3 linked regions of the Arabidopsis thaliana genome follow. The protein of the gene in region 2 purifies or fractionates together with the protein of the main gene of each other region. This does not show direct contact. Each region holds a gene or a part of one and is shown on either strand. Other genes may lie near its edges.

What was found. The genes of interacting proteins can lie anywhere in the genome.
Region 1: the proteins of PGDH (region 2) and Hop3 fractionate together in Arabidopsis thaliana (co-fractionation; one large-scale study listed by BioGRID). This does not show direct contact.
Region 3: the proteins of PGDH (region 2) and Hop2 fractionate together in Arabidopsis thaliana (co-fractionation; one large-scale study listed by BioGRID). This does not show direct contact.

Annotation. Positions count from the first base shown.
Region 1 is NC_003075.7:7,336,069-7,343,918, forward strand, and holds Hop3 (stress-inducible protein), read right to left. Parts: upstream 5,294-7,850; 5' UTR 5,172-5,293; coding exon 4,335-5,171; intron 3,878-4,334; coding exon 3,589-3,877; intron 3,500-3,588; coding exon 3,190-3,499; intron 3,113-3,189; coding exon 2,986-3,112; coding exon of another isoform or gene 2,956-2,985; exon of another isoform or gene 2,912-2,955; coding exon 2,798-2,911; 3' UTR 1,950-2,797; downstream 1-1,949. Other genes in the region: PME1 (pectin methylesterase inhibitor 1), read left to right, coding at 485-1,105; AT4G12410 (SAUR-like auxin-responsive protein family), read right to left, coding at 6,888-7,361. UniProt on the Arabidopsis thaliana protein: Mediates the association of the molecular chaperones HSP70 and HSP90. Mediates nuclear encoded chloroplast preproteins binding to HSP90 prior to chloroplastic sorting. Involved in acclimation to heat.
Region 2 is NC_003070.9:6,099,204-6,108,189, reverse strand, and holds PGDH (D-3-phosphoglycerate dehydrogenase), read right to left. Parts: upstream 7,176-8,986; 5' UTR 7,034-7,175; coding exon 6,411-7,033; coding exon of another isoform or gene 6,395-6,410; exon of another isoform or gene 6,207-6,394; intron 5,115-6,206; exon of another isoform or gene 4,860-5,114; coding exon 4,772-4,859; exon of another isoform or gene 4,558-4,771; coding exon of another isoform or gene 4,547-4,557; coding exon 4,070-4,546; intron 3,979-4,069; coding exon 3,211-3,978; 3' UTR 2,949-3,210; downstream 1-2,948. Other genes in the region: PEPR2 (PEP1 receptor 2), read right to left, coding at 1-1,534; AT1G17744 (uncharacterized protein), read left to right, coding at 6,395-6,835; VPS46.1 (vacuolar protein sorting 46.1), read right to left, coding at 8,037-8,323, 8,656-8,980. UniProt on the Arabidopsis thaliana protein: Involved in the plastidial phosphorylated pathway of serine biosynthesis (PPSB).
Region 3 is NC_003070.9:23,228,327-23,235,492, reverse strand, and holds Hop2 (stress-inducible protein), read right to left. Parts: upstream 4,572-7,166; 5' UTR 4,468-4,571; coding exon 3,592-4,467; intron 3,494-3,591; coding exon 3,205-3,493; intron 3,113-3,204; coding exon 3,027-3,112; intron 2,925-3,026; coding exon 2,701-2,924; intron 2,604-2,700; coding exon 2,537-2,603; intron 2,435-2,536; coding exon 2,375-2,434; intron 2,227-2,374; coding exon 2,113-2,226; 3' UTR 1,950-2,112; downstream 1-1,949. Other genes in the region: SCO1 (Translation elongation factor EFG/EF2 protein), read left to right, coding at 1-1,031, 1,103-1,615, 1,704-1,871; AT1G62730 (Terpenoid synthases superfamily protein), read left to right, coding at 5,375-6,289; NG1 (Pentatricopeptide repeat (PPR-like) superfamily protein), read right to left, coding at 6,462-7,166. UniProt on the Arabidopsis thaliana protein: Mediates the association of the molecular chaperones HSP70 and HSP90. Mediates nuclear encoded chloroplast preproteins binding to HSP90 prior to chloroplastic sorting.

The DNA of each region.
Region 1 (7,850 bases), on a different chromosome or scaffold from region 2:
TTTTTCTCTGAAATACTAAAAGCTGATATTAAAAATAAATAAAAAATAGTATATGAAAAGATGGTAAAACATGCAAAAGCTAATCAAAGGACCAAAAAGAAGACATGTGACCACCATATCCCCCTTTTACATATTTCTATGGTAGAAAGATAAATACTAATCTATGCTATATAATAATACATATATATCCTCTCAAACTTGAACAAGCATATATGGAAGATTATAAACAGTGGTTTCTACTAGGGAATTATTGTTGTATACTTGTATCAGAATTCCAAAGTGTATTGTTTTCTAATCACTAAATGGAAAACCATTTGGAGTTTATTTTTTAATACAGATTGTCTTTTTGTAAACAATATCTATAACAAAAAAAAATACAATAAATGTAGCTCTCCTATAAATAACACCTCACTCGTGTATACACACATATGCCTTTTAATTGAAACGCACCACAAATAGAACAAAGAACCCCACACACACACCAATGGAACCAAAGCTAACCCATCTTTGTTATTGCCTTCTACTTTTTCTTCCACTACTCTGCCAATCCACCATAGCCAAACCTTCATCATCACCAAACCCTAGCAGCAGCATCAACTTCATTGTCTCATCATGCCGCGTCACGCGTTACCAAACTCTCTGCGTCAAATGCCTTGCCGCTTTTGCAGACAAAATCCGCCGCAACGAAAACCAGTTAGCTCAAACCGCTTTAGCCGTTACTCTAGTCCGGGTTCAGTCCACGACAATCTATGTAGGGAAGCTGACTAAAGCTAGGAGAATCAAAAGGAGAGAGTACTTAGCCGTGAAGGATTGTGTTGAAAATCTTGGAGACGGTTTAGAGATGTTGGCTCAGTCGATGAGGGAGTTGAAGCAAGTTGGTCGATCTGGTCGTGATCGAGACGAGTTCTTGTGGAGACTAAGTAACGTTGAGACTTGGGTTAGTGCTGCCTTAACGGATGAGACAACGTGTCTGGATGGGTTCGATGGAAAGGTTATGGACGGTGTGGTAAAATCAGCGATTAGAAGAAGAGTGGTTCATGTGGCTCGAGTTACTAGTAATGCATTGGCTCTTGTAAACCGGTTCGCGGCTAGGCATAAGTCATAGAATATTCGGCTAATAAATTAAAATTCGGTCCTTAATAAGGTTTTGTCATGTATTTTCTTTTTTGTCCTAGTGGGTGATTTGTTTCTTTATGATACTTTGTATTTATGTGTAGGCTTGGGATGTTTATGCTTTTGTCATGGTTTCGACTAGAGATAACGATGATTTTAACGGGTTTATGGAGAAAAAGAATTGGCCACAAAAATTGGATGAGCTCCTACATTTCAATATAGTTACGGTCTCGGATATAAGCAATGGATGGCCACAATAATGTTTACCATTTTTAACCACTCTAATAACCAATGCTGTTTTCTAAAATCAGATGAGTTTCTTACTTCACACATATACACTTTTTCTAAGCATACAAATTATAACCTCTAAGTTGGACAAATCTCCTACTTTCTGCATACCCTTTAGTGTTTTTGTTCCTTTTCACGGAAACCATTAGACCAAGAGCTAGTCACTTTACTATTTGAATAATCTTATGATGACATTCTTTCCACATAAGCTCCATTTACTTTGGTAGTTTGGGAGCAGGTGTGAAAATCTTATCACTAGTCTAAAGTTAAACACTAAGTGCTCTTTTGATTTAATTTAAATAAACCTTCGGATTGTTAGCTTTTGGGAAAGACAAGTCCAAGAAGTAACGGTGAAGAGTGATCATGGAAGCAAATTAGGTACAATTATGGAAATACAAATATTTTTAGGCTGTTTGCCACATGAACAAAACATGCAAGTATATATGAATTATATCCTCTTAAATTACTATTTAACATCTATTAACCCTTTTGCATGGAATGTTTATGAAAAATCTATGCAAATTCTATTGCAAGAAAAAAAAAAAGTACTCTGTAATTTGGTTAACCATCGGTACACCTCCCCTTACGAATTTGTGATTTGTGTAGTGAACCGATTAACCGAATAGTATTTATTAGGAACATGTCATAATTTTGAAAATAATCGTTAATTAACAAAATAAAAAGTTATGGGAAATAGTTTTATGTTCTAAATCAAAATTCAGAAATTATTACTTATGTTTTTTCAGTTAGCAAAGGAAAATTACATATCTTAGATTCTGAAACTTAAATTCTAAAATTAAAACTCCTAAACTTTCATAGATTTTAAAATCTTAAGATCTTTTTGTTTTTGTTTTTTGGGCAAACAAAATCTTAAGATCTAAATCTTAAAATACTTTCCACAAACCGTTCCACTAGAGAAAAATCTATATATATATTTTTTTAAACTATATTTTGTATTAAAGAAAAGTGGAAGAGAAAATTCAACACAATCTGATTATTGCACAATTTCTTAGTCACCATAACGTGTGCAATGCACGTGAGGCCCGTCTAAAAAGACTTTTATTCCTCTGTAAAAGAGACATGTAGAAAACAAAAAAGATTTTACAGCTTTTGACTTTTAAATTATAATTTTCGACCAAAAAAGAATTATAGTTTTTTTTAAAATTTTTTGACAGCAATTATAAATTTCGTTTGAAGATTCTTTTGAGAAAATTCGAAGAAGTAGCATATAAAACTAGGAGAACACAGACTTGATTCATTCTACAACAACTCCTCAAACATGACCCAAACCAAATCAGAGTTTCATCAGTTTAACAAAAGCCCAAAAGAACGCAGTGAAAATTTGGAAACATCTTCGGTTTGATTCAATATACCACTCCGGTTTAGCATAACCAATTTACCGGACCTGAACAATTCCGGCACTAACCAGCTTCTGAATCTTGTTCATTACCATTGGGTTCTTCATATGCTCTTGTGCAGCTTTCGGATTCTCTTGAAAGTCCACTAGTACCTACAATAGACATCATCACACAAGTCTCACAGACAGCTTACGAGTTAGAACACAATGCTTGCCACTGCTTTTACCTGTCTCATCACTGGATCCGATAATATGTTCTGAACTTCAGGATCTTGCATTGCCTTTGCTTGTCTCTCCTTCAATTCTTCTGGAGTCAGATCACCACGGCTCGCTTTGTTTATCTGTTCCACACATCTGAAAACAACAACACTTTCACTAGACCGATCTTTGCAAGGTTAAACAACAAAGAGAGAATGCCAAAATTTGCAAACCTTCTAACACCATCAAGGAACTCCTGGTTCTTAGGATCATGTTTTAGCCCTTCTTGATACGTTTCCATAGCTTTATCGTATTCCTTCATGAAAAATTGAATAGCTCCTTTTCTACTGTATCCTTTCGTGAAACTTGGGTCCAGCTCAATGCATTTTTCAGCATCTTTCAATCCCTCTGGTAATGCTCCTAACTTTGTGTAACAAGCAGCTCTGTTGCTATATGCCCTCACGTCGTTCGGGTTTCTTTTGATTGCTTCTGAATAATGCTTCACTGCCTCTGGATACTTTTGTTCTTTAAAGAATCCATTACCTGCATCAATGAAGAAGTGTCAAATGCTTAATCCTAAAATCAAATCACGTTTCAAGATAGTAAGTGTAACTGAGGATCAGTATATATACCTTTCTCTCGCTCCTCCTCGGCTATCGTAGGATCAAAGTACTCCTGTTGCTCCAGCTCTTTCTTGACTTTCTCAGCATCGTTCAGTTTCTTCAATGTATCTGGATTACGATGCTCTGTAAGAGCTTTCTGGAAAGTCTCAATCGCAGGCTCAAAGTCTTTCGAGCATCTCGCCATTTTCACTAGAGCAGATCCTTTTCTAGTCAGAGCTCTTGCTATCATCTTGAAGTCAGAACGAAGTTCTCTGCCTCTTTCAACAGCCTTGTCACAGTCTTCAATGCACTCCTCGTACTGATAATTTCATTTGAGAAATGAAGTAAAACATCACACAAGATACAGTAAGATCCAGATGAACCAACTGTTAATTAAACAAGACTAATGCAAGAACACATAGACCAATGGAATTGAACCACTCAGGATACTTGAAGATTAATTGATTCCAGTAATAATAAAGATAACCACTTCTACAGAACAAGTGAATAAACTCCATCATGAAGCCATAAACCCTAAATTTCTACCTCATCTAAAGCTAACTACTTTCAGCACAAGTGAAAACTTAAGTTCAAAACTCTTAAATCTCCAACAAGAAGCAGATGAAAGTTATCAAAACCCATCAAGGTCATCACAAATGTACTAACTAGTGACAAGCTATACTAAACAGATAAGCTACTTCAAGAACCCAAGATCTCCTCCTTAATCTTAAAGTACCTAAAGGTTTAACTTTTAAGCCAAGTATAAGACTTAATACCTTCCCCATCTCAAGATAAACAGCAGCACGATTCGTCAAATACGAAATATCCTCATCATCGAGCTCCATGGCCTTAGTATAATGTTCAACAGCTCTCCCAAAATCCTTCTTCTTATAAGCAACATTTCCTTCCCCTTTCTCCTTCAAAGCCTTCTCCTTTCTCTCCTTCTTCTGCCTCTCCTCCTCCGTCAACTCCATAGGTTCCATCTCCGGTTCAGGCTCTTTCCTCTCATCAGCCTCCTTCATCTCAGTATCTTCACCACTAGATCCACCAAACTTCACATTCAACAAAACCCCTAAAGCCTTCATAACTCTCTTATCCTTCATATACAAATTAAGATTATTAGGGTTCCTCTGAATCTCCTTCATCGTCTTAACAAAATCATCCTGCTCCAAATAAACCCTAGTCCCCGGATCCGCCGTCAACTTCTCCCACATCTCCTTCCCTTGAAACGCATCAACAAAAGGATTCGACTTTGACGAAACCCTAGATCTCGAAGCATCAGCTAATCCCGATTTAAGCATCTCATTACTCGGATCAATCTCTAATCCTTTCTTATACGAATCAACCGCTTCATCAAACTTGGACAATCCAATAAACGCAGCACCTAATCGGCTATATCCTTTAGACCAATCAGGTTTAAGCTCTATAGTCTTCTTCGCGTCTGATAAAGCTTCTTCGTAACGGTGGAGAGAAGCGTAAGAAGCGGATCTGTTTGAGTAGAGGATGTGATTGGTTGGTGAAAGGTTGATTGCTTCTGTGAAATGGGTTATTGCGGTGGCGTAATCGCCGGAAGAGAAAGCTGCGTTTCCTTTGGATTTTGCTTCTTCCGCCATTGAATTGGATTTGGTTTAGGTATCGTGAGAATCTGCTTGATTGCATTTTTAAAAACAGAGGAAGATGAAGAAGAAGGCACAAGAGAGTTCTCGAAATTTCGAATTTTTTTGTGTATGTCGAGAATGTTCTTTTGTAGCCGTGGAAAAATGTTTTTAAATCTTAAAAATACAAAAGGAAAAGAAACGCTAGAGAAAGGGGTCGAACCTCTGACCTTGTGGTTAACAGCCACACGCTCTAACCAACTGAGCTACTCCAGCTTTTTGATAAGTGATTCGTTATTTATGTAAATATACCGTCTAGAAAAGAATAAACATCCGTTTATGTTCTGTGCTTACTTTTTTATGCTATGTCTTTGTCTTCTGTCAGAAGATTAAGCGTCAGAAAGACATCGTGGAGTTAGCAACGAGACGATCAAAATTCTTCAATCCGAAGTAGTAGTAAACCAGAGGTGAGAAGACGACCAGTTTGGGAGAGAAAACCAAATCGGAGGTATGTATGGTGATTAAAGTTTTGGTTATGATAAATAATATCATCATAAGCGAATAGTTTTGTACGTTTTTGGTTTAGGTTTTAATCAAATGTGTCTTTACTTTTAATAAGTTTAGGTTTGATATTTGGTTTTTTTGTTTTTTTCTAAACATACCACATATAATCATATATATTAATACTCAAAGAACAAGTAGTACATGGTTTCTCCAAATACTTGTAACCAACCAAAGTGGTAAACTACAATCTAAAAAGCAAAATACAAATCACATGAAGATGCAAATTTAGCAAGTGCATCTCCTCTGCACATTTGTTCTCACCTCATCTTCTAAATTTTAACATATTTGATCACTTTCCTACAATATGATTTGAATTTGTATTCAAATTTGGGAAATTTTGAAAATTACCACCTTTATGATACCATTTTTCAAAAAGACCAGAAAAAGGTTGTTCAAAAATTCTAGTTTCATATCATTTCTTAAGAAAAATCTTCTAAGCACTATAAAACATTAAAAATTTTGTGAAAAATCTTATAAATGTTTGATATTATGCATTATAGAAACTTTATAAACGTTTTTATAATATGCTCTATAAAAGTTAATAAAACAAATTCTATGATTGCATTTTGTGTTACATTGAAAATTAACAAAAAAAAAAAACAGTGGTATTATTAAAAAAAAATAAAAATCATAAAAGTGGTATCTCAAAAATTCTTCTGAAATATATTTAGATAGAAGTAATTTCATAATTAACATTATATGGAAATTCTAAATATTGATTGTTTCACTTCAATTGGGGTTTATAGTGGATGATAGGTTTCAGATACAGCAATACACCATCACTCACTGTATTTGATATATTGAAATATAAGTATTCAAAAATACTGATAGCCCAATTTCAGTTTTTTCTGTTTTTTTTTTTTAATTTCAGTTTTTATGTGTGTAATTTTATAAGTTAGAACATAATTTCAGTTTTGTTCTAACTTATAAAATTACACACATAAATCTAAACCATATAGTATTATAGGATGTCAATGTGGTCTATCATCCATGAAATAAACTGATACAAATAATTATCTTGTATTTATGAATCGGTATTTATCGTATAACATAGATGGTAAAAAAAACTAATATTCACAAATTAAAGGAAATCATCCTTCTCTGTACTGTATAAGTGTATATAAATTTTTTTAATCCTCTTTTGATTTTTGACTATTTTATAAATTCAAATTATATAATCTTGTAAGAATTTTTCCTGCGGCAATGATCCCATGCAGCGATCCTCAACTGGACTTTTTCAAAATCCGAAACCCGACAAGGAATAGTGATCCGACCCGGTTGATCAAACCCATGAACCCGCTCCGCTTGCTCCAACAATTCTCCAAACAATGGATGATTAAAGTAAATCACCGGCACCACAACTCGCCGCGTGTCATCGTCTGATTCGCCGACATGAACCACCAAATGTCCTCGAGGAACAACCCGGTTCGACTTTTTCGGATCCTTACCCAACCGGATCTGATTCTGACCCGGATTCTTCTTGCTTCCACCGCACAATCTCTTAGCTCCACGGCTTAAACACCGTGCTAATGACCGGATTCCGGTAACCGGGTTTGTGATTCGGGTCGGGCATCTGTTTCTTGGTATCCATTTGAAAATTTTGACAAATCTGTGTCCAATTTTGAACCCTCTGACTCTCTTCATGCTTGGTTTTAATCAGATTCCGACAAAAAAAAAAAAAGTCTTTGGTGAAAACAATGAGATGGGTTTGTTTGAAATCGAGTTTCAAGAAATGGGTTTGATTCGAAAGAAATAGATTTGGAGAAAATTTTGGTTTTTGTTTTTTGGTATCTCTCTCTGTGTTTTATGTTATAGAGTTGAAGAAGAAGACTGTTTGGGTATGGGGAAAGAGGTTACCTCTTATATAGCCTTCAAGGAGCTATGACTCTTATGTGTGCGTGTGCTTTTTAAATGTGTCCACTTTGATGGATAGTTTTCCAAATACAACTTTTTTTTTGTATTTTTTGTTATATTTTCGTATCATTTATCATCTTTTCAAAATTTAGGGAACTTTTTTTTTCTATTCAAAACATGCGACTTAAAATTCCAAATCTTAAGTGCCAAAAAAAAAAAAAACCTCAAGATATTTAAAATGAAATATATTACAAGAGATATATTTACAAGACTTGTGTA
Region 2 (8,986 bases):
TAGTCAAGAGATTTTTACAGCTTCCCAAGCTGCGCGGGATGGATCCTTCAAAGCTATTGCTTCCGAGGTTCACATAGGAAAGACTAAGACTCTCAGGGAATTCCGGAAGAACACCTGAAAGTTTGTTATCTTCAAGTCTGACTCGCTCAAGGGTCTTACACTGACGAATAGACGCTGGTATCTTACCATGAAGCTGATTAGAACCCAAGATGAACAATCTCAACTTCTGTCCATGGCAGAGATGGGGTGGTATCTCCCCTGTAAAACGGTTACCAAGAAGGTCCACCTCCTCTAAGCTTCGATTCAGGCCTAAACTCATTGGTATATCTCCATAAAAGCCGTTGTTAAACAGTGTAAGCTTCTTAAGGTGCTTCAGCTGAGTTACTTCAACTGGTAGTTCCCCGGTGAGAGTGTTGTTATAAACGAGCATCTGTGTCAGACTCTGAATCTTCCATATGCCAATAGGAATCTCACCGGACAGCTTATTAAAAAAAAGCTCCAGGCTTTGTAGCTTCTTTAGCTTACTCAATGCAGGTGGTATCTCGCCTTGGAGCTGGTTGTCGTTCAGCTTCAAGGTTTCCAAGCTGCTGCAGTTCCCAAGCTCTTGAGGGATATTCCCCGAGAGACGATTATCGGAAAGGTCAATAACCGAAACCTTTCTCAACATACCCATTGATGATGGGATTGTACCTGTCAAGTTGCATTTCACCATGACTAAAGAGTGAAGGCTACTGCAGTTGCCTATCTCAGGTGGAACACCGCCTTGGAAATCATTGAACGAGAGATCTAAAGAAACCAATTTCTTGCAGTTGCTAGAACCAAAATGAAGCCTCCCTCCAAGGCTGTTGTTACTGACAAATAGCTCACCAAGATTCTCGAGTAGATAGAGACTTGCTGGCAAAGAACCATTTAACTTGTTGTTGTTCAAAGCCAGATATTCCAGCTTACTACAGTTCCCAAGCAACTCTGGAATGGTACCAGACAAGTTATTATATGACATCCTCAGATCTACGAGCTCTATCAACCCACCAACACTTGCAGGAATGAGACCACTAAGATTATTGCGATCAAGATACAGAAACGTCAAATTCTGCAAGCTACCAAAAATATCAGGAACTTCTCCAGAAAAATCATTGTTAGACAAATCCAAATACTCAAGTGAAGTACAGTTTCCTAAAGTGGAAGGCAATAAACCAGAGAAACTGTTAAGACTGAGATCCAATGTGACCAAGCTCTTAAGCTCCCCAATTTCAGAACCTAATTGGCCTGAAAGCCCAGAAGCAGACAAATTAAGGGTCTCGACGACATTACCAGAAAGATCACAAATGACACCAAACCAGTTATTATTACATGGAGTGGTTTCAGATGTGTTCTCCTTCCACGTCGAAGCTACTTCAAGTGGGACTTTATCAAAGTGCTTGAGAAGCGAGAGTAAAGCCAAACCATCTGAGTTTAAACTAGAGACAGAATCTATACGGAAATAGACAAAGAGAGAGCAAAGCAGAGTAATTTCGAGTAACCCAAGATTCCTCATTTGAGATTAGAGCTCAAGAGACTGAAATATGAAACACTCGTACGTAGTAACCTCACTCAACAACCCTTGAACCCAGAATGAGAGGCGGAAAAAAAAAAGAGAGAGCTTTTGGATTTGAAAGGGTATCTGGATTTAGTGACAGGAACAGATTGCATTATTTAAGAAACGATCGATGAGTTTGGTGAGAGAGAAAAAGAGCGCGCTTTTTGGTTAACTCTTCGTCAGAGATTGTGAACCTAACTTTACGAATTGGCGACCTTCAACGCTGTTTCGTGTTTCTTTCTCGCTATTTCCATTACTACTCGGAGACTGTTTCGTGGTTTTAAATATTCCATTTTCCACGTTTTGTTTTCTTAGCTTATTCAAGAGAAAGCTTCTTTGGACGCTAATTTTCTATTGACATTTCATCCTACTGTTACTTTGTTAGATTTAAATCTTTCATAAACATTATATATTGGAATTTAATCAAGATCTCTGGTATCTGTCGTCTACACTAGAATTTTAACTAGTACTTTATTAACAAAACCATATTCACATAAAACAAAAATGGTTTATTAAAAACATAATGTCAAAACTGATTGAGAGATTAATTTTGATCTTCCCTGTTAACAATATTAAGATAGTGGAGCACTCATCAGTCTATTTAAAAGTCTTAAACCACTTGTATATCTCTCTTTTATGGAATTATTATGTTTATTTCTCTCATTATTACAAAATGTCATCATTTTGGGAGGATGCTATTACTCTTACTAAAATAAGATAACACGCATTCTCAACTTAATTAGACTCAATGATCATCTTTAAATTGATATTCTATATTCATTCCACCAACATAACTCAATCATTCGACGTGCACCATTACATATTATAATCTATCTAATTCCTTAACTGAATTCAATTTGGTTTGGTCGTCTCATGGTATTGAGAAGTCAAAAAAGTCCCAACGAAGAATCATACTTTCTTTAATGTATACAATATTCGTTTGTAACATTTTAACACGTTTATTTTGGAAATATCATACTGTCCATTTCGATTTTAAGTTGGTTGGTCGTCACTTTTGCAGGTCCCAAACGAATTTAATAACAACTTCTATATATGTCTCCATCACCAAACCCTATAATTATACTGTAGTTCATAAATTTTCATAGTTGACAAAGAAAATGTGATTTTCACCATAAGGATTTAGAGAGTGGTGGTCCTTGTTCTGTCTTCTATCACTTTTCTTTAAGTTTTATATATGTTCCACTTCTTTGGTATATTTCCTTTACATGATGTTGAAATTTGAATTTAACTTCAAAGGGTTTTCACATTAGATTCCAATGAGGTTTGCAGATTGCATTTTGTCACAAGATCACAAGGCCACCTACATCCTAAGACTAAAACCCCCAAAGACCCAAATGCGAATCCATTGAGTAGTGATGGAGGAATTTTGTTTTCAAGTCCAACGGTTCATCGTAAAATATAAGCAAAAGCATTTTACAAGAGAAACATGACATTAACCAAAGGCATTACATACCATAAGAAAGCAAAACAAGAACAATGTAATAATACCAAGATACACACACTCGCTCGCAACACCACAGATTCTCTACAGCTTAACAACCACTGGATAAAACACCTTAATCCGGGTCACAGTTTTATTCTCCATACACCACAATGCAACTCCATCTCAAACTTTATAGTTTAAGAAACACAAACTCTTCAATCGCAGAAACACCCCCAATCCTCTCAAGTGTTTTGTTGTCTGGTTCTTCATCAACTCCAATCGCCATTATCGCTTGTTTCCTCAACACTGTTCTTCCAACACTCATGAAATTCACATTCACGTTTTGTTCTCCAAGTATGTTACCAACCTGTCCAATCATCCCTGGTTGATCCACTTGCCTGCACAGTATCAGATTCCCTTCAAGGCTCACATCCACACCAAATGATCCGACACAAGTTAAATGCGGAACTCCGTACTTCACCTTCCCTTCAATACTTATATCACCAGCATCAGAGACAGCACCAGCGAAATTTGACTCCACATTCAAAATCTGAACTTGGATGGAATCAACAGGGTACTCTGGTGATGAATCAACAACCATTCGTTCCTCACTAATACGAAGACCCTTTTGTTTAGCTATGAAATCAGCATTCACCAAGTTGACATATGAATCTGAGATCGGTTCAATGATTCCCTTTGTGATCATTGCACGAAGTAGTCTAGTATCCAAATCATCTCGGTCACGAGCTGACCGATAGACCACCCTAATGGACTGTACTCCTTTACCTCCAGATGCTAACTGCACAGCTAACCTCCCAAGCTTCTCAGCTAAGACAATATAAGGAGTCAACTCAGACAAGACCTCAGGAGCCACCATTGGAGCATTGACGGCAGTAGCTGATAACTCTCCTTTCAATGCCCCTGCTACAGCCTCTGCTATCTCAATGGCTACACCTTCCTAAAATATCACATTGGAATTATATAAACTCGAAAAGAAGTGTAGAGAGATGAAACAAGTAACATAAACAAGATCAAGAGAGTGATGATACCTGAGCTTCTTTTGTGCTAGCTCCAAGATGAGGTGTCACAGTAACATTTTCATGCTGAATTAGTCTGCTATCTTTCGATGGTGGTTCCTCACAGAACACATCTAATGCTGCCTGAGCAACGATTCCGGCATCGAGAGCTCTAACGAGTGCATCCTCGTCGATGACGCCACCTCTAGCGACATTAATGAGACGCACACCTTTCTTCATCTTAGAGAAAGTTTCGTCGTTGAAGACCTTTTTGGTGGCCGGAGTTAAAGGCATGTGCAGGGAGACGAAATCGGCGGTGGAGATAGCTTGATCGAATGAAACAAGATCGACACCGAGAGCTCTGGCTCTGTCAGCTGGCGCGTAAGGGTCGTGGGAGATAACGGTCATGCCTAGACCTTTGGCTCTTCTCGCCACCTCCGTCCCAACTTTCCCGAAACCCATCACGGCCAAGGTTTTTCCGACGAGAGATACACCGACGTACTTGCTCCTCTCCCATTTTCCTGTAAAAATATCCAAATGTCCAAATTTCAGAAACCGCCTCGGTATTACTTGATGGAGGAGTCATCTCAGTTCAACTCAAATTGATTTTATTTTTTAGAATTTTTTTTTTTACTAGATTACAGAAGAAGAAGAATAACTCAAATTTTACAAAAGTGATTTTTAAGTGAAAGTGATTAAGACTTAGAAGAGATAATGGTATTGTAATGTCTACACTTTCTCAGTTTCTGTCTCGATCGTATATTGATGCTTTGACTGACGACAATTCCACCTTAACAGTAGTACCAGAAACAAATAATTGAGTCTTATCAATTATGATGCATGATTATTTTTTAATGACCCACTTGTATATTGTGTACTAAAATATCTACAAATTTGTATATTGTAAAAAGAATCCCATATTCTTCTGCTAATCAAGTTGCACTATATACGCCGAATCAATAATTAAGGTAATTTAAAAATTGTAATAAACTATTAACGAATATAAAGTTTTTAAAAAGAAAAAAAGACAACAAAGACTCGAGAAAATGATATTTGCCATGACAAAATTCCAAAATGGAAAAAAAAAAAAAAAACAAATTCCAAAATGGGTGGAACTGATGGGTTGTGACGCGTGAGATTGAAACTTTAAAGAGAGAATATATCAGGTAATCGAATTATTTCTTCAGTTACCGATGCATGGGTTTGTAATAAATTCCAAATAAGATGATTCAATCCCTTTTTTTGTCCTTTTTTGGAAAGTACAAATTGAAATTTTGTCTAATTAGTTACAATTTTGATTTTAATTTTGGATTTTGTTTTTTGTTGTTCAAAATCATTAAAGGTAATATGGTCTTAACAATCTCCTAAACTTTATATGATTCGATTCAATCTAAACCTACAATCAAAATTAGTATTGTAGTTATAAATTGATATCTAAACCGGCTAAAAAAACAGATTTTATGAATAATTTTGTGAATCTTATATTTTTGTAAATACTTTACTTTTACTAAAATTACATATACATAACTAATTAATACACATTTTAAACACATTTTAATATATTCCTCCAATTATAATTTAGTAATGTTTGATTCAAAAATTTATATTTATAAAATGTAAATATCAAATTTATTCAAATATTTAATATAAAAATCAAATAAACCGATTGTCTGCGGTAAACAGCGGATTAAATCTTAGTTGATTGATACAAAACAAAACAAGAAGTTTGCAATAATAGACAAAGAGACTCCAATAATTTAATTTCTGTACTGTGGTTGGTGAGAGACTCGGAGAAAAGTAAAATGAGGTTACTGGCGGCCCCAAAATTCAGGGCCCCGACTTTTACTTTTTGCAGTAAATGGACCCATTATTTTACATTTGACAGGTTCGTTTGTTTTTTCCATCTTACAGGGAGAGGATCAAATATGATTTTCCCCTTTTGTTCTACTTACGTAAACCAATTTTATTTTTGCTTCTAATCATGACTTTTCTACTATCCAATGACAAATTGCCACTTCTATGCTATAATGCATAACTCCAAAGATCAACTGAGCAATTATTACGAAGAAACACTTACGAGTAACGCCACTATACTGGAATTATTCAAATGGACCATTAACTCTTCTCAATATATGAACAAAACGAAATATTCAATATCTATCGATTAATCAATGATAATCAATTCTTCTTTTTTGTAATCAAGATAATTTGGACTTCATCAGATCTCGTAATCTTTGCGAGACTAAAACATGTTAGATTAGTTTTTTCTTTTCCATGGTGTGAAACATAGTATAAGCTTTAAGTTAATCTAGATAGGTTAATTGGTTAAATGTCTCATTTCAATAAAACAAAAAAAAAATGGCTAACCGGGAACGTACCGGCTTTAATAGAAGCGTCGGCCTGAGCAACGTTACGTGCCATAGAAGCAAGCAAAGCAATTCCATGTTCGGCAGCAGCCACCGTATTAGCCGTTGGAGCATTAACCACCAAACACCCGTGCTCCGTCGCCGCCTGCAGATCAACATTGTCAATCCCAACTCCGGCTCTTCCGACCACTTTCAACCTCCCCTTCGCCGCCTCAAACACTTCCCTCGTCACTTTAGTTCCGCTTCTCACGATCAGAGCGTCACTCTCCGCCACTTTCTTCTTCAGATCTTCCGGCGAAAGATCGTAAGAGCAGTCAACGTCGCCGAATTCCCTGAGGAGATTCACGCCGGCTTCTCCCAGTTTCTCGGTGACGAGGATCCTCGGCTTTGGAAGAGTTGGATTGTATTCATCAGAGTCAGATCCGACGGTTGAGAATCTGTTATCCTCTGTTAACGTCGTTTGCTCGACGGTTTTTAAGGCGGCGCTTATGGCCGTTAGTTTGACGCTTGTTGCGTAACGGCGGTGAAGGAAAGCAGGGAGGACGGCGAATCTAGAAGACGGTGACGGAGACGGAGACGTCCACCGTGAGTTGACGGCTTTGACGGACGAACACGAAGATGAAAATGCCATGACTCTTTTTTTTAATAATAAATATGATTGGTTGTTGTGAGTGTGTGCAGAAGAGCTAAAGTGGTTAATATAGAGCTTACAGGAGGTAATGGATGAGTTTTAATTTAATCTTTCACATTGTGGGCTACCAACATTATGTATTAAGTTGAACAGTTTGTTTGGTAAAAGAGTAAATAAAATGAGAAGCACATGCACAGAGAGTAGGACGTTCTTGTCTAGGTGCATCATCATTGTCTCAATTAAAACAAAAAAAACACATATAAAGTAGTATATAATAAAAGATTCATTTAAGCATTCAATTAATTGTTACTATAATTTAGCACTGAAATACATTGTCATCTATATTAGTATATTACGGTTAATATTCATCATCATGTGCATCCTTATTAATAAAAGAAAAATAATTGACGACCAATCTTTTATGTGATTCTCCCACTAAAATGATGGAGTTTCCGAAAGCATCTTTAAACCATAACTTTATGTTTCTTTTACTTAATTTTATTTTTGCAGAGAAGATAGATTCGGACTTTTCCTCACGAATTTTTTCAACTTTATTCATTAACAAGTGTATATGAAAAGAAACATGAAAGAACAAGACTTTGCAATGAACAAGACATGGGAGAGAGGGAGGAGACTTCACCATATCATCCTCTCTCCCAAGTTGACAACTGCAACAATCCACCAAGAGTACTATAAACATTCTTCTCCTTGGAAAGAATATACCTTTTACTCCAGTGTATTCCTTTCTGGACCTGGAAAATTTGGTGGAACTACTACCAGAGACACATCTGGAGAATTAACATTTGTACAACTAATCCAAACCATTAAGCAGATGATGAAATTTCTCATTGTAAAAACACACTCTAGGTTTTATATAAACAAAAGCATGTACCAGGGTGAGCAATTTACACAAACATTCCCATCATGTTCAGGGATTAATAGCATCAACATCTCAATAAAAGAAGAATCCAAATACAGTTTTTTTTTTTGTTAGGTTAGCTAATTAACCTCTGGCTTTAAGCTCGGCAAGTCTCCTGGTTAAATCATCCTCCTCAACTTTCTCTTCAGTCTTGGTAGGAATGGCATGACCAGCAGGCTGAGGTAGTCCAACAGAAACTTCAAGACCGTAATCATCTGCTACTTGCTGCATCAAGCTGTTGACTTCTCCTTCTGGAGTCGACAATGAAGTAGAGCCAGCCATTGCATTATCCATGAACTCAGCTTGGACTTCCATGTTCACAAACTGTTTCTCAAACGAATCCATCGTCTCAGACATCTTCTGTAAGTTGCCTGTTGCAAAGAACAAACCAGAAAATGATAACACGAGTTGCTACAGCACAACGTATAAGAGTATTATAAGCCCTATCTTCTTCTCCCTCTATACTACACTTACCAAAAGGAGAGAAATGCAACAAAAATTCATCACAGATCACAGAACATCCATGACGGTGAGAGAGAGCTATTCTAATATTTCATCAAACCAAACCCTAATGCATGATTCCATATCCTTCAATCAGCAAAAACAACAACAAGGAGCAGAATTTTTCAATCTATACTATAATGCTATGAGCACCAACAAAACCAAATTGATTAGATTGCTGAAAAGTGAGAATGTGAAATACCAGTGGTAAGAGACGATTCGAGGGATTTGACAATGTTGGTCATCGATTTGGTGATGGTAGCCATCTTAGCCTGGGTATCGAGTCGAGCAACAACAGCGTCCAATCGAGAAGAGAGACGAAGGTAGTTCATCTGCTCGCTGCGTTTGCGAATGGCGTTCTCGGCATAGATCCGAGCACCATCCATGTTACCTTTCTCAATGGCTTTCTTTACCTTGAGCTTCTCCGATCTCTCCTCTTTTTCGCACTTCCTAGCTTGCCTCTGCAGAGACTTTGACGTAAATTTCAATTCAAAGATCTGGTTCATCAGCTTATCTGTATTACCCATCTCCTC
Region 3 (7,166 bases), about 17 Mb from region 2:
TGCCTAGGATTTGCTTTGTTAACAAGATGGACAGGCTTGGAGCTAACTTTTTCAGGACTAGGGACATGATTGTGACCAATTTGGGTGCTAAGCCGCTGGTGCTTCAGATACCAATTGGTGCTGAAGATGTCTTTAAAGGTGTTGTTGATCTTGTGAGGATGAAAGCTATAGTTTGGTCAGGAGAAGAGCTTGGTGCAAAGTTCAGTTACGAGGATATTCCAGAAGATCTTGAAGATTTGGCTCAAGAGTATCGGGCGGCGATGATGGAATTGATTGTTGATTTGGATGATGAGGTCATGGAGAACTATTTAGAAGGAGTTGAGCCTGACGAGGCCACGGTAAAGAGATTGGTTAGAAAAGGAACCATCACGGGCAAGTTTGTGCCAATTCTATGTGGTTCAGCCTTTAAGAACAAAGGAGTGCAGCCATTGCTCGACGCTGTGGTCGATTATCTGCCTTCGCCCGTTGAAGTCCCGCCGATGAATGGAACAGATCCTGAGAACCCGGAAATTACCATTATACGGAAACCAGATGATGACGAGCCATTTGCTGGGCTAGCATTCAAGATCATGAGTGATCCTTTTGTGGGTTCTCTTACATTTGTGAGGGTTTACTCAGGGAAAATCTCAGCTGGTTCTTACGTGTTGAATGCTAACAAAGGAAAGAAGGAGAGAATCGGAAGACTCTTGGAAATGCACGCAAACAGCAGAGAAGATGTTAAAGTGGCTTTGACAGGTGACATTATCGCTCTTGCGGGTCTCAAAGATACAATCACTGGTGAAACCTTGAGTGATCCAGAAAACCCCGTTGTTCTTGAACGAATGGACTTCCCTGATCCCGTCATCAAGGTAGCGATTGAGCCAAAAACAAAAGCAGACATCGACAAAATGGCGACAGGGTTGATCAAGCTCGCTCAAGAAGACCCGTCTTTCCATTTTTCTCGTGATGAAGAGATGAACCAAACCGTCATTGAAGGAATGGGAGAACTTCATCTCGAGATTATCGTTGACAGACTTAAAAGAGAGTTCAAGGTAAAACATAACCTATAAATCTAATTCTCTACTTCAAGCTTCCAAGCTTCTAATTCCTTTTCATCTTTCAGGTGGAGGCTAACGTTGGTGCACCGCAAGTCAACTACCGTGAGAGTATCTCCAAAATAGCTGAAGTGAAATACACACACAAGAAGCAATCAGGTGGACAAGGTCAGTTTGCTGATATTACAGTCCGGTTTGAGCCATTGGAAGCAGGGTCAGGATACGAATTCAAGAGTGAGATCAAAGGAGGAGCTGTGCCAAGAGAGTATATTCCTGGTGTCATGAAAGGACTTGAGGAGTGTATGAGCACCGGTGTGCTTGCTGGTTTCCCGGTTGTTGATGTCCGTGCTTGTCTAGTTGACGGATCTTACCATGACGTAGACTCAAGCGTGCTAGCTTTCCAGCTTGCTGCAAGAGGAGCTTTCCGTGAAGGGATGAGGAAAGCGGGTCCGAGAATGCTTGAACCTATCATGAGAGTTGAAGTTGTTACACCAGAAGAACATCTTGGTGATGTCATTGGTGATCTTAACTCACGAAGAGGTCAAATTAACAGCTTCGGAGACAAACCCGGTGGTCTCAAGGTATGTTTTATTCAAAATGATCGAAAAAACCCCTAAATTGTTAGATGATGAAATCTGATTTTGACATTGTTGTTCTTATTATTGTTAGGTGGTCGACTCTCTGGTTCCATTGGCAGAGATGTTTCAGTACGTGAGTACATTGAGAGGGATGACAAAAGGTCGAGCTTCTTACACAATGCAACTGGCTAAGTTCGACGTTGTTCCTCAACATATTCAGAACCAACTTTCATCCAAGGATCAAGAAGTTGCTGCTTAAACAGATTTTGTTTTGCCTAGACATAAAAACTTATTGTGATTTTGTTTGGTCTATATAGACATGTAAGCTAATCAAATTTGTGAAGACAAGGTTGTTATTGTCTTAAAACGCATGGATATGAGAAAGAAAGAAAAATTGATATATCAGAAAAGTCTGAAAAATGAGAAGAATTCGATCTTAGTGTTTGGAGTTATAAAAGAGTAATGACTCAGCAAAATCGAAATCAATGTCTTGGCTTCGTTTATTTCATCTGGACGATTCCTGAGCTGATAAGCTTTTGGATTTTGTTCATGATCATTGGGTTCTGCATGTGCTTTTGTGCTGCTGCTGGATTCTCCTGGAGATCAGACAGTACCTGTCCAAAGAACAAGTGTTAGATTTTGGTGAGACATATCAACATGGAGATAGCTCAATTTCAGTTTCCAGGATTGCTCCGAGATGTTTGATCTAAACATAGAGAGATTTGTGAATTCTAACATCATCTATAGAAGTGTGTTCTTTACCTGTCTCATTACAGGATCTGTGAGAATGTTCTGAATTTCTGGGTCTTGCATTCCCTTAGCCTGCAATAAGGACGAAAGCAAATCCCAAAAGTTTTAGTTTAAGATCACAGGTTTCTCTTAAACCCGTAACAAAGCAGTTTCAAAGCAGTAATAGAATCTAACCTGTCTTTCTTTCAATTCCTCAGGAGTAAGGTCGCCACGGTTTGCCTTGTTTATCTGTTGTACACATCTGCATGGTTTAAAACATGTTACATAAGCATATTGACATTACTAGATAACAGAAGCGAATAATCTCCCCGTGACTTAACACCTATTTATATAAATACCTTTTAACACCATCAAGAAGTTCCTGGTTATTAGGATCATGTTCGAGACCCTTCTGGTACGTTTCCATTGCATTGTCATACTCCTTCATGAAGAACTGGACTGCACCTTTTCTACTGTATCCCTTTAAGAATGTTGGATCGAGCTCGATACATTTCTCTGCATCTTTTAATCCTTCGGGCATTGCCCCCAGTTTAGTGTAACATGCAGCCCGGTTGCTATATGCCTATGTGACGAGCAAAAAAGTAAACAAGTTATTAAAACAGTCAAATACGGAACTCTTTTTGAGCACAACATTGAAGGATATATGATGATGAATCCGCCTTACTCTCGGGTCTTTTGGATTCCTCTTGATCGCTTCAGTGTAATGTCTCACAGCATCAGGATACTTTTGCTCCTTAAAAAAGTCATTACCTGTGTTACAAAGATGTTAGTTCAGCTACATTTACTGAATTCTAAGAGATTCTTCCTCGCACAAACAGCACATACAATTGCAAAGTATATACCTTTCTCACGCTCCTCATCACCGATATTAGGATCATAGTACTCTTGCTGCTCCAACTCTTTCTTTGCTCTCTCTGCCTCATTCAGTCTCTTCAATGTTTCAGGGTTACGATGCTCCGTAAGAGCTTTCTGGTAAGTCTGAATCACAGGTTCATAGTCTTTCGAGACTTTAGCCATCTTCCCTAAAGCAGTTCCTTTCCTAGTCAAAGCTTTAGCCACCATCTTGTAATCAGACCTAAGCTCTCTACCCCTTTCAACAGCCTTATCACAATCCTTGATACACTCATCATACTAAAACAAAACACATAGACATTAAGACTCATAACCTAACCAAAGCAAATCACTTTAGACTAGCACACAAAAAAAAAAGAACACTTTGAAAACTATACCTTTCCCATCTCTAGATGAACAGCAGCACGATTAGTGATATAAGAGATATCTTCATCATCAATCTCCATAGCTGTAGAGTAATGCTGGATTGCAGTTTCGAAGTCCTTCTTCTTATACGCAGCATTCCCCAACTCTTTCTCCTTCTGAGCTTTAAGCTTCTTCTGCTTCTCTTCTCCAAACTCCGGCTCAGGCTCAGGCTCAGGCTCAGGTTTTCGTTTCTTCTCTACCTCAGGCTCCTTCCTAGAAGGCACAGCCATCTCTTCCTCACCAATCTCCATATCATCACCAGCCTGTTGAGTCCTGATTTGAATATTCAACAAAACTCCAAGAGCTTGCATAACTCTCTGATCTTGCAAATAAAGATTAAGATTACTAGGGTTCCTCTGAATCTCCTTCATCATATTAACAAAATCAGGCTGTTTCAATAACCCTCTAGTAGAAGGATCCGCCGTCAATTTCGACCACATCTCCGGTCCCTGAAAAGCATCACCAAACGGATTGGGCGCGGAAGCGCGTGACCTAGACGCAGAAGCTTTCGCATCAGCTAAACCTGATTTCAAACCTTCGTTACTTGGATCAATCTCAAGCCCTTTCGAATACGCCTCCACGGCTTCATCGAACTGATTTAGACCTAAGTGAGCAGCACCGAGACGGCTATAACCTTTTCCCCAATCTGGTTTAAGTTCAACAGTCTTCTTCGCGTCTGAGAGAGCTTCGTCGTAGTGATTAAGCGATGCGTGAGCAGCGGAACGGTTTGAGAAGAGAACGTGATTGGTTGGTGTTAGGTTGATTGCGTCGGTGAAGTGATTAACGGCGGAATTGAAGTCACCGGAGGAGAAAGCTGCGTTTCCTTTAGCTTTTGCTTCGTCCGCCATAGTTGAATCTGAAAATTTTCTCTTGCAGGTCTTCTCGTTGCTTCTGGAAGATACCTTGAGGGGCTAATGGGTTTTTGGCTTTAGGCGAATAAATACGAGTGTATATATATTTGTTCGATATAAGAGTGTTTGGTTTCGGGTTAATACTATCCTAATCACGTTTATTCATTAAACAGTTCTTTACATAAAAACGTCGTCGTGTCATTTTATAACAAAACCGACTTCCTGTTACACTGTAGCAGAACCGACGTCGTGTAATAACATTAGTGGTTTTATATTAATCGACGACGTATTTCTCTACATTGACCCAACGCTTCTTCTCCGGCACGATTGTTCAGAGTTCGATTTCCATTTTCGGGTCGAAAGGTTGATTTTATTTGGATTTTGGATGGTAGATTCAGTTCCTAAACATAGGAAACTTGAATCTCAGAGTTTTTCGAGTTAGGGTAAGGTGTTTTTTGCTCGTTTCGTTATTGTTGGACGACATTAATGGTTTCCAGCGATTTTACATTACTAATTGGAAAGTTTCTGTGAACTTTAGTGATCTCATTTGTTATCCATGTGTGATTATTGGGTTTATGATTGTGTGTTAAGCAATGTTGAAAAGTTCTCATTTTGTTTGTTAAATACCAATTCCAGTGCTTTGTCCACCAAGTGTTTGTGTTAATTCCTGAATGAGTTTAACGGTTCACAAAACCTCTGGATTAGTGAGAATTATTCAGTATATTTATTTGAAGTGGTGATAATTGGAGGATTTTCTCTTGTGTTTGTAGATGAATTCTGTGTTACTGTTTTATAATGGAGTGATAGAAGAAACCAGAGTTTTTCATTGTTTTTATGAACTGATCTTGTTTGTGGTTTATATGGTTGTAGGATAAGAGAAAGAAACACAGTTGGAGTTATACTGATGAATGGAGGAGGCTCGAGTAGTTTGCGTTCAGCATTGTCCTATTGTGTGCAGCAAGTACGAAACTATGACTATCATCACTACCTCTGTCTCCTTGAACTCCCAACTGAGATGCGTAAAGCAGCATTTGCTCTCCGGGCTTTTAATGTAGAAACCGCAAGAGCCATGGATGTTGCATCTGATCCCAAAATCGGCTTGATGCGGTTACTTTGGTGGCAAGAAGCAATTGACAAACTCTACACCAAAAAGCCCATAAACCATCCAGCTGCACAAGCTCTGTCTTGGGCAATATCAGAACATAACATCAGTAAACCTTGGCTAAAACGCTCAGTTGACGCTAGAATCCGAGATGCCCAAAGAGAAGTAGACGATATACCAGAGAGCATTGCGGAGCTAGAGAAATACGCAGAAGACACAGTTTCCACTCTTCTGTACAATACACTCCAAGCAGGCGGAATTAGTTCAACAACAGCTGATCATGCAGCTTCACACATTGGTAAAGCCAGTGGTCTTGTCTTGCTGCTTAAATCATTACCGTACCACTGTACCAGAAACCGTCACCAGAGTTACATCCCTGCAGATCTCGCTGAGAAGCACGGGTTGCTCGTGAAACAAGGTGGACGATTAGAAATTCTTCTGGATAACGATTCAAGAGAAGGACTAAGCAATGTCGTGTTTGAGATTGCATCTGTTGCCAATGCACATCTCCTGAAAGCCCGTGAACTGGCGGGAAAGGTTCCTGCAGAAGCTAAACCGGTACTGCTTCATTCTGTGCCGGTACAAGTTCTTCTGGATTCGTTAAATAAAGTACAATTCGATGTGTTTGATCCCAGGATTCAAAGAGGAGTTCTTGGTGTTCCTCCACTCTTGTTTCAGTTTAAACTCAAGTGGTATTCATGGAGAGCAATGTTTTGAAAACTTGTCTTTATCTCCCTTTTCTTGCCTCTTTTATTTCTGGTTTCAAAGACTTTACATTAAACTCCAGCTTACTTGTATTTCTTTTGTAATAATACAAAATTACAAATGGTGATGAATACAAAATAAAGAATTTGTTTTTTACTTACAAATAATATACAGTTTTCATATGTTATAATGGAAGAAGCCCATCTTCTTGCATTTTTCTGTACAACAAATCTGATTTATCCCATTGGCGTTTCCTACAAAAGCCTGAGATCATCGTAGTGTAGGACACAACATCAGGCTTAAGTCCTTTGCAAGAAAGGCTACGAAACAAGTCCCACGCATCTTCAACATTACCAATCTTGCACATCCCGTGAATGACGATATTATAAGTAGTAATATCAAGTTCTATTTCACTCTTTTGCATATTCTCGAATAACACCAATGCTTTCTCTACCCTCCAGTTCATACAAAGCCCATACAACAAAATGCTGTACGTCCTAATATTGGGACGAGAATCCATCCGACTGAAAATTTCTTGCGCCGCATCTGGTCTACCCGCTTGAAAATAGCCCTGGATTATAGTGTTGTATGTGATAGTGTCACCAACTAATCCTCTTTGAGCCATCTCGCGGAAGAGTTTCGTTCCTTCATCAACCCTCTTAGACTTGCAAAACCCGTTAATGAGAGTATTATAAGTCACTACATCGGGGAGACAACCCTTAGTTACCATCAAATCAAGCATTTGTTTGGCCTCATCTACCCGACCGTGCATACAAAGACCGTTGATCAACGAATTGTAAGTGAAAACATCCGGATCTACACACCTTCGTGTCATCTCCTCGTACAACTTCATCGCCTCCGAAAACTTCCCTTCTTTCACAAACACATC